3 linked regions of the Caenorhabditis elegans genome follow. The protein of the gene in region 2 purifies or fractionates together with the protein of the main gene of each other region. This does not show direct contact. Each region holds a gene or a part of one and is shown on either strand. Other genes may lie near its edges.

Region 1 (2,966 bases), on a different chromosome or scaffold from region 2:
ACAAACAGCCGAGCCTCTATCTCTCTTATTCTCCGTGAGCAACTTTCCGTTTTAAGTGCACGCGATTACCTATGTAGGCGCATGTGAAGCCTTATTGTACTACAGTGTGAGCCGCCCCGACAAACACTCGACTCAACAGCTTTTTCCTTCAAATTGTCAAAACAAAACAATACGAGAAAGAAGGCGAGACGTGAAACTTGGGAAAGTTATGTTGTTAGTTGCTGTAGCTTGGGTAAAGTAGTGATTGAGTACTGTATGATTACTGTAGTTTTGGAAAATGGGGGAATTTTGTAGGACATTGCGGAAACATGGAACTAGGTCCTAAATCCGGGCTTTCTACCGGAAATTTTGAGTTTGAAATTTCATAAACTATATTTTCTATTTCACCTGGAAAACTGGGCCCTGTAACGACAATTATGTCTGAGATCGTGGCGAGACCCACTTGGAAAAACATCATGTGCCTTTGAACTGGCAATTCCAGAACTCCGGACAAGCCAATCAAAAGACAAAATAGCTTGGAAAACTGTTAACTTTATCATCAAGTTGATCTTTATTCCATATTATTAAATACACGTTTCATAATATAAAGAAAATTTCAATTATTATATTTCCATTTAGAGCTTCTTGAATGGCTCGTTCTTGTCCAAATGGTTGTAGAAGCAATCACGGATCTCGTTGAAGTTCTCGGTACAGAAAGCATAGTCCAAATAGTTGGATGGAGCTCCCTTATGAGCGGTACAGTACTTGAGGCATTCTCCAGAGACACCGGCCTTCTTGCAGCAGTCCTCGTGGTTGTGACGGAGGGAAGCACAATCCCACATTTCTCCGACAGTTGGTCCACGCTCTCCGCAAGTCGACATGAAGTTCAGAATCTGAAATAAGAACGTGTAATGGTTATTTCTAGTAAGCTGACTAAATACATCAGAATTGACGCGCAACTAGCTCTCAGGAGACAACTTACGTTAGCTTGAGAAAGAGCATTGAAGTCACAGAATCGATCGACGCACTCCTTATCGGCATCCTTCAACGTGGCACAGCATAGCTTCAGCTTCTCATTTGGAGTAGCAGCAAGAGCAAGAAGTGGGAGAGCCAGGAGAATTGCGAAGCGGTTCATTCTAGAATTAATTACTATGAATATAGATATGTTAACTTTGAAAAATAAAAGAAAACTGCAACAGGTGGAAGATCGAAGAAATGAAGAATACACAGCCTATCGGTGTCAAGGCCCGGACTATTTAAAGGGTCACCCGGAAGACTCCACCTCTGACATATTGAGGTCAGGCTGTGATAATAAAAGAGATAAGATATCACTCCCTATCATAACAATCCTATTTCCTAGAACACCAGTCACCATTGTACTTTTATCGGATTTTTTGAGGCCGGTCAATGTTGCGAAAGATGAATTGCATGTAATAATGTATAGACTCTGTTATAAGAAGAAACATATAGAAAATATATATTTATTTTCTAGAAGAGATAGTTGGTGATAAAGTGAGAAAGAGGACACACACAGCCGTTTAATGGATTATTGCAGGTCAGGTCAGAAAGAGAAAAGTGGTTGGTACGAGAATTAGTTGTCATTGAAAAAGAGGTGATTAGTCATTTTTGAATCCATTTGCAATCAGAAGAGATAATGAAATGGCGACACCGAAGCAGATTCCAACAACGGCGAACATCCATGAGATTTGGATAAGTTGAAGACGCTCCGGTTTTTTGGAATTTTTTTCGGATTTTTCGATCTGTAAGTTGTGTCTTTTGTGGAACATTTTTTTGTGTTACAAATGTTGAATTGAAAAATTTGTGACGTTAAAGTTAGTCTTAATTTTTGTAGAATTTTTTGCTTGAAAATTTTAATAAAACATGTTCTTTTTACCTTAAAAATTCTAGTTTTTTTTCTCAAATTTGATGCAAAAAATTGCAATTCAGGTGCTTTGAACATTCAACAAAATTCTGAAAATTAAGAAAAAAATTCTCAAAAAATATTCAAACTTCTTGTGCGCGGGAATTCAAGTTTAAAACATTTTTAAACTCATTTTTCTCACTGTTTACCGAAACTATTAGTTTTACAAATGAGATATTATGTTTTGGATCACTAACTTTTTTAGAAACTTTTCCCCCTTTTCCACACTTCTTTAATACTAAATTATCAATTTTTGTTGCCAATAATTGAAATAAAAATAAATTAATCATTTAATCTCCAGTGATTTGGCCTATATTGCCCGTAGGAGTAAACTACATACGGACTGCTGGTTCATGTGATTCGCAACATGATATGGTATGATCTTCGTAGAAATGTTCTTATTGCATAGGATATTCCAACTTTAGAACTTTAAATGCAAATTGAAAAATCTTACCATTTCAACTTCCCTATACCCATTTCTCTGCTCGCTTTCCAAATACAAAACTACGAATCCTGTGGCGATACACAAAATGGTCGGCACACTGGTCAGCACAATTTCCATTGTTGGCTCTGACCATGTCTTTCGATAATTGGCGGCAGCCACGTAGATTGCGGCCACTTAATTTGTATAAAAAGTTTGAATTCTAGTCATGGAAACTTACCAGCAAAAGTGTAGGAGAGAAGGCCAACAATTCGATGAGCCCAATTAAAAATTGAACGTTGTGAGTTGGAAGGTGGGCATCTGGAATAAATAAAAAGTATAAAATTTTGCTATTTTTTTACAAAAATAAATCTACCTCAACAAACTATTCAACGGCTGGGAGAATGCCAGAATAGTAGAAATCGTTCCAAAATCCGTGTGCCATTGTGTCCAGTACCATGCTTCAGATCCAGTACCTTTCCAGGTCCAATTTGTTGAAATTAAAATGCACAAAATCGAGGTTACAATACAACAAACACCAATAAAAGTTGAGGCTCGATGAATTTGAAACCATACGAACATTCCGTAAATTGTATGATTTTTGAACACTTGCCGTCCATATCTTGCAAATAAAAATCCCGTTGG
Region 2 (3,780 bases):
AAAGCGTTTTCATATGAGCTATCATACACTATCTGATAAAGTCACAGTAAATTTTTAAAAATAATTTGCCTGAAAACCCAAATTTTCGATGATTCCAGAAATTTGACCCATTAGAATGGCCCATGATTATTTCTTAACTATGTCTTTGTCGACAATAATCCACATGGAGAATTGCAACTCTTAACACCAAAACTATCTCAAATTTATGCAAAAGAATTTGTTTAGGACTTCTCCGCAACCAAAAAAAAAACAGCGCCATGCCTGTATACTAGTATATAAGCATTTTTATGAATACACGGCTACCGAATATTGAAATAGTAATGTAAAACTAAAAGTCACACAATTTTTTTAAATGCGCATTGAAGAAAATTGTTAATATCTGGTATAAGTCCCTTTTTTACTGGAATTTTGAAATTTTTCCAAGCCCCATTATTGTTTTTTCACCTTAAACTCATTTTCCTGTGAGTTGTTTTTTTCCTCACAGAAATCAATTTCGCAATACCACCATATCTCTCCGTTGACCACTTATCGGTGACTAACAGCTGACCGGATGATCAGCTGAAGTATTTTTTGCGCCTTGTTCATATATTCCTGAAAGAGAAGGCCATGTGCAAATATTTTGTCTTTTTATGCGCACAACTGTACGAAAAAGGCGTTGAAGCGCAAGTGGCTTTTGTTTTTCCATTTCCCGAGTTTTTCCACTCTTCAACCTTGCATCTTCATTCTACTTCTAACTGCACTTGAAAACATCATACCCTTGTTTTGTTTTCAATAATATATTTCAATATTCTAAGAGCAGCCCCACACCTGTTCTTGTCAAATAGCGTATATAAGTCGAGCTTCTGACCCAAGCTGCCCTAACCAATTAGATGCTTCACGCGGTAGGTGCGCGTATTCTATTCTATATGTGAACCCTGTTTGGGAAACACAATTGTAAACATAATTTATAATGACGAAAACTGCGGGCTACCTGTCTACAAGTATACTCAAATTTAGTGTACTCAAATTTAGTATAGAATTTGTATTTTCGAACTTCTTGCAATAGTTTTTCTCCTAAACACCCGCCAAGCACATAATTGCCATGCCAAGTCTGTGCCGAGTTTTCCCATCTAAATTTTTTTCTTTCAAATGTCTGTGTACGCACGCGTTCCACCTTTCCTCACACTACAAAAACTGTGAATCAAATTGAAGTAGGTCATTTGGAAGAGCGAGAGAAGAAGGGTGAAAGAAAATATGAATACACTTGGAAACGTACAATTCTTTTTCCTCTCAATCGTTTCACTTTCCTTTCATTTTTACAGTTTCACTTCTTCATTCTCAAAATTCTCGAACAAAAAGTTCTCATGGAATCGATGGGAAGAAGTGTAGAATGAATGTTTGTTGACATTAAATGCCCTTTTCAATTTTCCGTATTGATTCAATTCAGTAGTCACTCTTCGATTTCAAAGCCATGACGATATTTTATTTCACCATCACAAATAGGAAAAAAAAACAACAAATAAATCACGTGTTGAATAAAAATTTATCGCTGTTCCCCCATCTACCCTTTTCCAACATGACAATATCGAAACGTGCACATACCAATACCCTTATACATATACAATCGTTTCAAATTGTTTATGATAGACTCTTTCTTTCTTTCTTTAGTCAAATAAACAAAATCCCCTCTTCACATCTTATTCTTCATGTCATTTTGTCCTCAAAATCCTGTCCATTGCCCAATTTTTTCCCGTCCGTTTGAAAATAAAAGCAGCAGCAGCAGACCCAGTGATGAGTCAGTCAGTGCGACAAGAAAAAAAGTATTAGTCACAGGAAACACTATTATTGTGCCGACAACCCTCCTCTCTCATATATAGGCAAACGCAAGCATTTTCAATCGTAACCCACAGATAATTCTTTTGATTCTTCATTGACTACCGTCATTTCTTTTTTTTGCCATTCCCACTTTGCCTCTTAAAATGTTTTAGACAATAATTGCTCTACTATATCTTGCAGACACTTTCCTCCAAAACTCGCAATGGCTGCCGTCACCGAACTTCCAAAGATGAACCAAGAGCTCGCTGGAGCTGTCCGAGAGGGATTGGAGCTCAAAAAAGTTGAAACCACCGAGAAGAATGTTTTGCCGACCAAGGAAGGTTAGTTGTGTTTGTATGATTTTTTGGTATTGAATAGGAAATTAATATGGAATTCATAGAGTATCGATAGAGTTTTCAATTCCAATACAGTTTCAATCATTAGTTCATCAACTTTACATATCAAAACTGACGAGAAAAAATCATGTGTTTTCGATGTTCGGAGTCATTATCACTTTCAAATGAAATGATCAGTTGTTCAAACAATAACTGATAACTATTTCAAAATATAAAAATTACATGAGTTCACAAACAGGAAATGTTATGATTTTGATCAGTTCAAACTTTTGTTATTCAAAAGTTTTAACATTTCAGATGTCGCCGAGGAGAAGCAACATGTCGAGCGCATTCACGAGATTGAACATTTCGACTCTACCAAGCTCCACTCTACCCCAGTGAAGGAGAAGATTGTGCTTCCATCGGCTGACGATATCAAGCAGGAGAAGCAACACTTGGAGCTCACCGACAAGATCAACAACTTTCCATCTGAGAACTTGAAAAAAACAGAGACCATTGAGAAGGTAGCTCACAATTTTCACAAGTTTTCATTTAAAACAAAACATTATAGAAACAAAGCAATTTGTGTTTGTATTTCAGAACGTCCTTCCTTCTCCAACCGATGTTGCTCGCGAGAAGACTCTTCAAATGGCTGCTTCTTTTGACAAGAGTGCTCTTCACCACGTCGAAACCATTGTCTCCACCGATGTCCGCGTCACTGAAGCTCAATAATTTATGAAAAAGGTTTTTTTTTCTATTTAATATCAAACTTCCAATGTTTCTATATATCTAAAAATTCAATCTGAATTACTAGGTCATGATGTGGAATTCGCAAATTGAAACGACGGAGATGTTAATCTATATTCTTATTTTCCAGAGTCCCTCCTTCTTCAACCTCAATTCGGTACGCCTTCATATTATCGTTAGTGAAAAATCCGGACTCTCACATTTAAATGCGTTTTCTTTGTTTTCTGGTTCGAGTTTTATCGATTTTAACATTTTACCCTGACAAACATGTATTTTCATCAATTCTTACGTTTCATTACATAATATTTGATGTATCGATTTTTTACCATTCCATATTTATTCCCCACTTGAAAATGAACATATTTTATTACAGTTTTTTTTTGTTTTAAATGAAACAATTTCAGGAAAGTTAGTATTTTAATATTAATAGTAATTAAATTAATAACTATGAGTATACTTTTAATTGAGTGTGAAATAACGATTGTTGTTCTTAAAAATTTTACAAAATCTACATTGAAAATTGATATTAAAACACCAAAAAAAAACTATTTTCCAATAAAAATGGGTTGAAATATTAAAGGGAGGCCGTAAATCCACACTCCGTCGTCATATCGTTGCGAGACCCACCGCCGAAAGAGTGTACACACTGTAGAGACGCGAGAGAGGTCGGCTGCCTCGTCAGTTTTGCGTGGCATTTCGATTTATGCAAAGAGACCCTTATTGTCTCGTTCCATCGCGTTTTCTCTTTCATTTTGCATGTTTTTCACGGAACTTTTTGTTGATATCAATTTTCAGGTAATGCCCAAAACGACGAGGATGCTCACAAAACTACTTTTGGTTTCGTTTCTTGCCAGTGCCAGTGCTTTCTACCTTCCTGGCCTGGCACCAGTGAACTTTTGTGAAG
Region 3 (3,757 bases), on a different chromosome or scaffold from region 2:
GATTATCCTTTTGGTAATTTTTTTTAATATAATGGTATTGCTTCATCAAAATTTATTTTTCAGAACTACCATACGCTATTTGATGGATATTTTCACGTCATTTGTTGCCATTAACGCCACCGTTCATTTCTTAATTTGCCTCGGCGTAAACGCTCATTATCGAGACACTGTTAAAGAGCTATTCCGCTGGAAATTTGAAAAATTGAGGAAAACTTCAGATGACTCAACTATGAATTCTCAGAGTGTTGGCCAACCTAGAATTGTCGCTTGATCAATTTTTTTTCAAATTTTTCTACTTTCCAATTTTTATTTTGAACCCCGTGTCCTCTTATTATTTTTGAAATTTAATTCCGCATCCCATCAAGATTACCCTCCGACCAGAACCTCGTCAGACCCCCACCCACACCAGCGCACGTGATAATTAATCATAGTATACCTATACTTGTTGACTATATCCCCCTTAATTCCCATGAGAAGCATCTCATGTGTCTTAATTGAGGGGTACACAGCGAGTTGTAAAGAGGTTGTCCTTAACAACCAAATTTCTGAATCTTTTGCAAACTCATTGCTTTGAATTTCACAACTAAAATGAACCCCGATGCTCCGAGTGTCGAGGAGAAGCTCACCGTCGATGAGTGCTACGTTATTTCCAAGGTGAGCTGAGATTTATGCTAACAAAAAAGCTCGAGTGTTTTTCTTATTTTCAGGAAGATTGGTTTGAGCCAATTTTCTGTAAGCCGAAGCTTATCCCGTTGAAGACTGTGAAAATGCGAGAGATCGAGAAACGACGCAATGAAAACATGGAGAGGGTCAAGGCGATAGAGGTGAGTTTTTTTTTGAGAAACATATAATTTACTTATTTACATTCTTTTTTCAGACAGCTTCAACGTCAGAACAAAAGAACCCAGAGGTGGTACCCAAGGAGCCAAAACCAGAAAAGCCTCGGAACCCGGAAGAGCTCAAGAAACAGAATGAGTTGAACAAGATCGATTTGTGGATCGCCGACGAAGATCCGGCACGTCGCAAGTGACTATTGTCTACTTGTAAACAATAATCCTAACAATCCTATTTTTAACTCCAAACTTTTCGCGATTTCAATTTTCAAAAAACATTCCAGACAACCTCTAAACCTACATGATCATCCTAGTACTTCTTGGCCCAAGCGCTATGTCCAAAAAGTCAGGTCTACCCTATGTACTGCCGTGTAGTCAAACAAGCTTCACCATCATGCCATTCACCTTCTTCCCATCATTTCTCCTGCCCTCTTATCTCTAAAAATTGTGATTTCTGATTATTTCAATAAATAATAAATATGTTTTGCGTTGAAATTCTGGTCATTGAGATTTTTTAGGTGGTCTGTAATCATGGGCTCTTAAAACTTTGATACACCTGAGCTTAGGCCAAAGCTAATCCTTAAAAAAAAGCTAAGCCTAAACGCTAAACCGAAGCTATTGGGATTATTCATGTGATGCCAAAAAATGCACAAATGATTTTTATACAGTTTTACCCTATCCCTAAAAACGAAGGCATTTTTTTTAATTTTTCAACATTTTTCGACATTTATCTACATCGGCCGACAGCCCGCTTCACATGAAAAATGTAGAAAAATGTAGAAAAATGCAAAAAAAGCATGTGTTTTTTTTACATTTTTCTACACACATGAATAGATAGGGGAAAAATGTAAAAAATACATTTTTGCATTTATCGTCATCTCATGAATAACCCTATAAAGCCTAAGCCTGGGCCATAGTTTTTCTGGAAAATATCAGACATTAATCTCTATTTGCCACATGGATTCCAGCAAGTTTCCACGTTAAAATCTTCGCGAGCCGTCATATCACTAAAATTCCTTATCTACATAGTGTTCTTGACACATCATTAAATTAGTTGCTCGCGGAGCAACAACTGCAAAAACGGTCTTCGTTCGGAACACGTAAGCATGCAAACACGCGCTGGAAGAGCAAAGTGCATGCGGTCACAAACATTTTTTCTCGGTATAAAATGCCAAGCGGGGTGCCACATTTCGGCATAGGCATCAATTTTCACTGCTGCTGCTGCTGAATCAACACTAAAAATGGCCGAGAAACGTGAGTTTTTGGATGTATGCTTATTTTTTCAAGAATTCATGTTTTTTGTTCAATTTGAAAAAAATTTAACAATAAGACCGAAAATGGCGAAAAATTGAAATTTTCAATTTTTGTTGATTTTTCGGCAGAAAAAAGTATGTAATTCTTTAGCAAGTTATTGTTTTGATTTTTTACATGTAATTGTACAATAACCTCATATTCCAGATATTATAGGATACAACACCAAAAAATGATTTAATTTTTTACATTTTTAGATGTCAGGCTGTCCCATTTTGGTGAGATCTACAAAAAAAGCGGGAATTTAGACGCAGACTTCTCAACTGATTTTACATGGTTAAGAACATGCTGACACGTCACATATTTTTGGAAAAAAATTCCCGCATTTTCTGTAGATCAAACAGTAATGGGCAGTCTGACACCACACGCTTCCAATAAAAAAAGTTTATTAAAAATATCGGAAACTACCCGAACATACAACCAACTTGAAAAGTACAGCACACACGTGGTGTCAGGCTGTCCCATTACGGTTTGATCTACAAAAAATGCGGGATTTTTTAACCCAAACAAATGTGACGTCAGCACGTTCTTAACCATGCAAAATCAGTTAAGAAGTCTGCATCTCAATTCCCGCCATTTTCGAAGATCTAAGTAGATCAAACCACGCAAATTACCTAATAAAAATCCAAAAATTGAAAATTTTCGGATTTTTTGTAGGTCTCCTAATACCCTACTAATATGTAAAAAAAATTTCAGTCGCAAAAGCCAAGGAGGAGATGACAGCCGCCGGTCTCTCGCCAGAATCCATCGAGGGAATTCTCAAAATCGCCGCCACTTACAAGAAGAAGGACGATGAGCCAGAACGTGATGCTGCCACTTCTTTGGCAATTATCACAAAAATGATCGGAGAGACCAATGAGTATATTAAGGGACAATCGGAAGCCGATCAGAAGATCTACGCTGTCATTATTGAGAAGAAGAAGGCCGAGCTTATCGAGGCCGCCAAGAAGCAATAGATTTTCTTTTTGTTTTGAAATTTTATTCTATTATGAGCTTGTAATAAAATAATTTTTGTAATTTTAAACTTGTAATGGTCACATACTTTTGGGAAAAAAATTCCCGCATTTTCTGTAGATCAAACAGTAATGACACCACGTATTTCTAATGAAAAAGTTCCTTTAAAATTTCGGAAACTGCCCGAACCTACTTGACCTACTTGAAAAGTAATGTACATACATGGTGGCTGTCCCATTACGGTTTGATCTACAAAAAATGCGGGATTTTTTTGCCCAAAAAGTGCACGCTTTTATCCATGCGAAGTCAATTGAGAAATCTGCATCTCAATTCCCGCATTTTTCGAAGATCGAAGTAGATCGAACCACGCAAATTTAATTCAATTATGAGCTTGTAATAAATAATTTTTTTGTAATTTTGAACTTGTAATGGTCTTTCCAAGTGATTTTTCATGGAAAATATATTCTTGTAAATTTTTTAAAAATCTCTATTTTTTCTTATAAAATCAGCTTTTTTTTCGATAAATTTTTGTGACAAAAATTGATTTTTTAAGATTAATTTTTCGATTAAAACCCTGAAAATTTTAAATTTTTTTTCGAATTTTTTCGATTCGATTTTTTCCCAGACAGTTTTTCGAATTTAAACAAAAAATTCATAAA

The links.
Region 1: the proteins of tth-1 (region 2) and dbd-2 fractionate together in Caenorhabditis elegans (co-fractionation; one large-scale study listed by BioGRID). This does not show direct contact.
Region 3: the proteins of tth-1 (region 2) and dct-16 fractionate together in Caenorhabditis elegans (co-fractionation; one large-scale study listed by BioGRID). This does not show direct contact.

The regions. Positions count from the first base shown.
Region 1 is NC_003280.10:4,561,099-4,564,064, reverse strand, and holds dbd-2 (DB domain-containing protein), read right to left. Parts: upstream 1,116-2,966; 5' UTR 1,115-1,115; coding exon 962-1,114; intron 873-961; coding exon 615-872; 3' UTR 605-614; downstream 1-604. Other genes in the region: M03A1.8 (ascorbate ferrireductase (transmembrane)), read right to left, coding at 1,596-1,739, 2,355-2,518, 2,563-2,642, 2,698-2,966.
Region 2 is NC_003284.9:8,421,947-8,425,726, reverse strand, and holds tth-1 (Thymosin beta), read left to right. Parts: upstream 1-1,995; 5' UTR 1,996-2,017; coding exon 2,018-2,135; intron 2,136-2,447; coding exon 2,448-2,653; intron 2,654-2,729; coding exon 2,730-2,861; 3' UTR 2,862-2,873; intron 2,874-3,006; 3' UTR 3,007-3,247; downstream 3,248-3,780. Other genes in the region: tag-123 (Transmembrane 9 superfamily member), read left to right, coding at 3,675-3,780. UniProt on the Caenorhabditis elegans protein: Plays an important role in the organization of the cytoskeleton by regulating actin polymerization in two ways. Firstly, by binding to and sequestering actin monomers (G actin) inhibits actin polymerization.
Region 3 is NC_003283.11:20,497,326-20,501,082, reverse strand, and holds dct-16 (DAF-16/FOXO Controlled, germline Tumor affecting), read left to right. Parts: upstream 1-2,025; 5' UTR 2,026-2,074; coding exon 2,075-2,087; intron 2,088-2,840; coding exon 2,841-3,100; 3' UTR 3,101-3,159; downstream 3,160-3,757. Other genes in the region: dct-14 (DAF-16/FOXO Controlled, germline Tumor affecting), read left to right, coding at 589-654, 708-824, 878-1,030.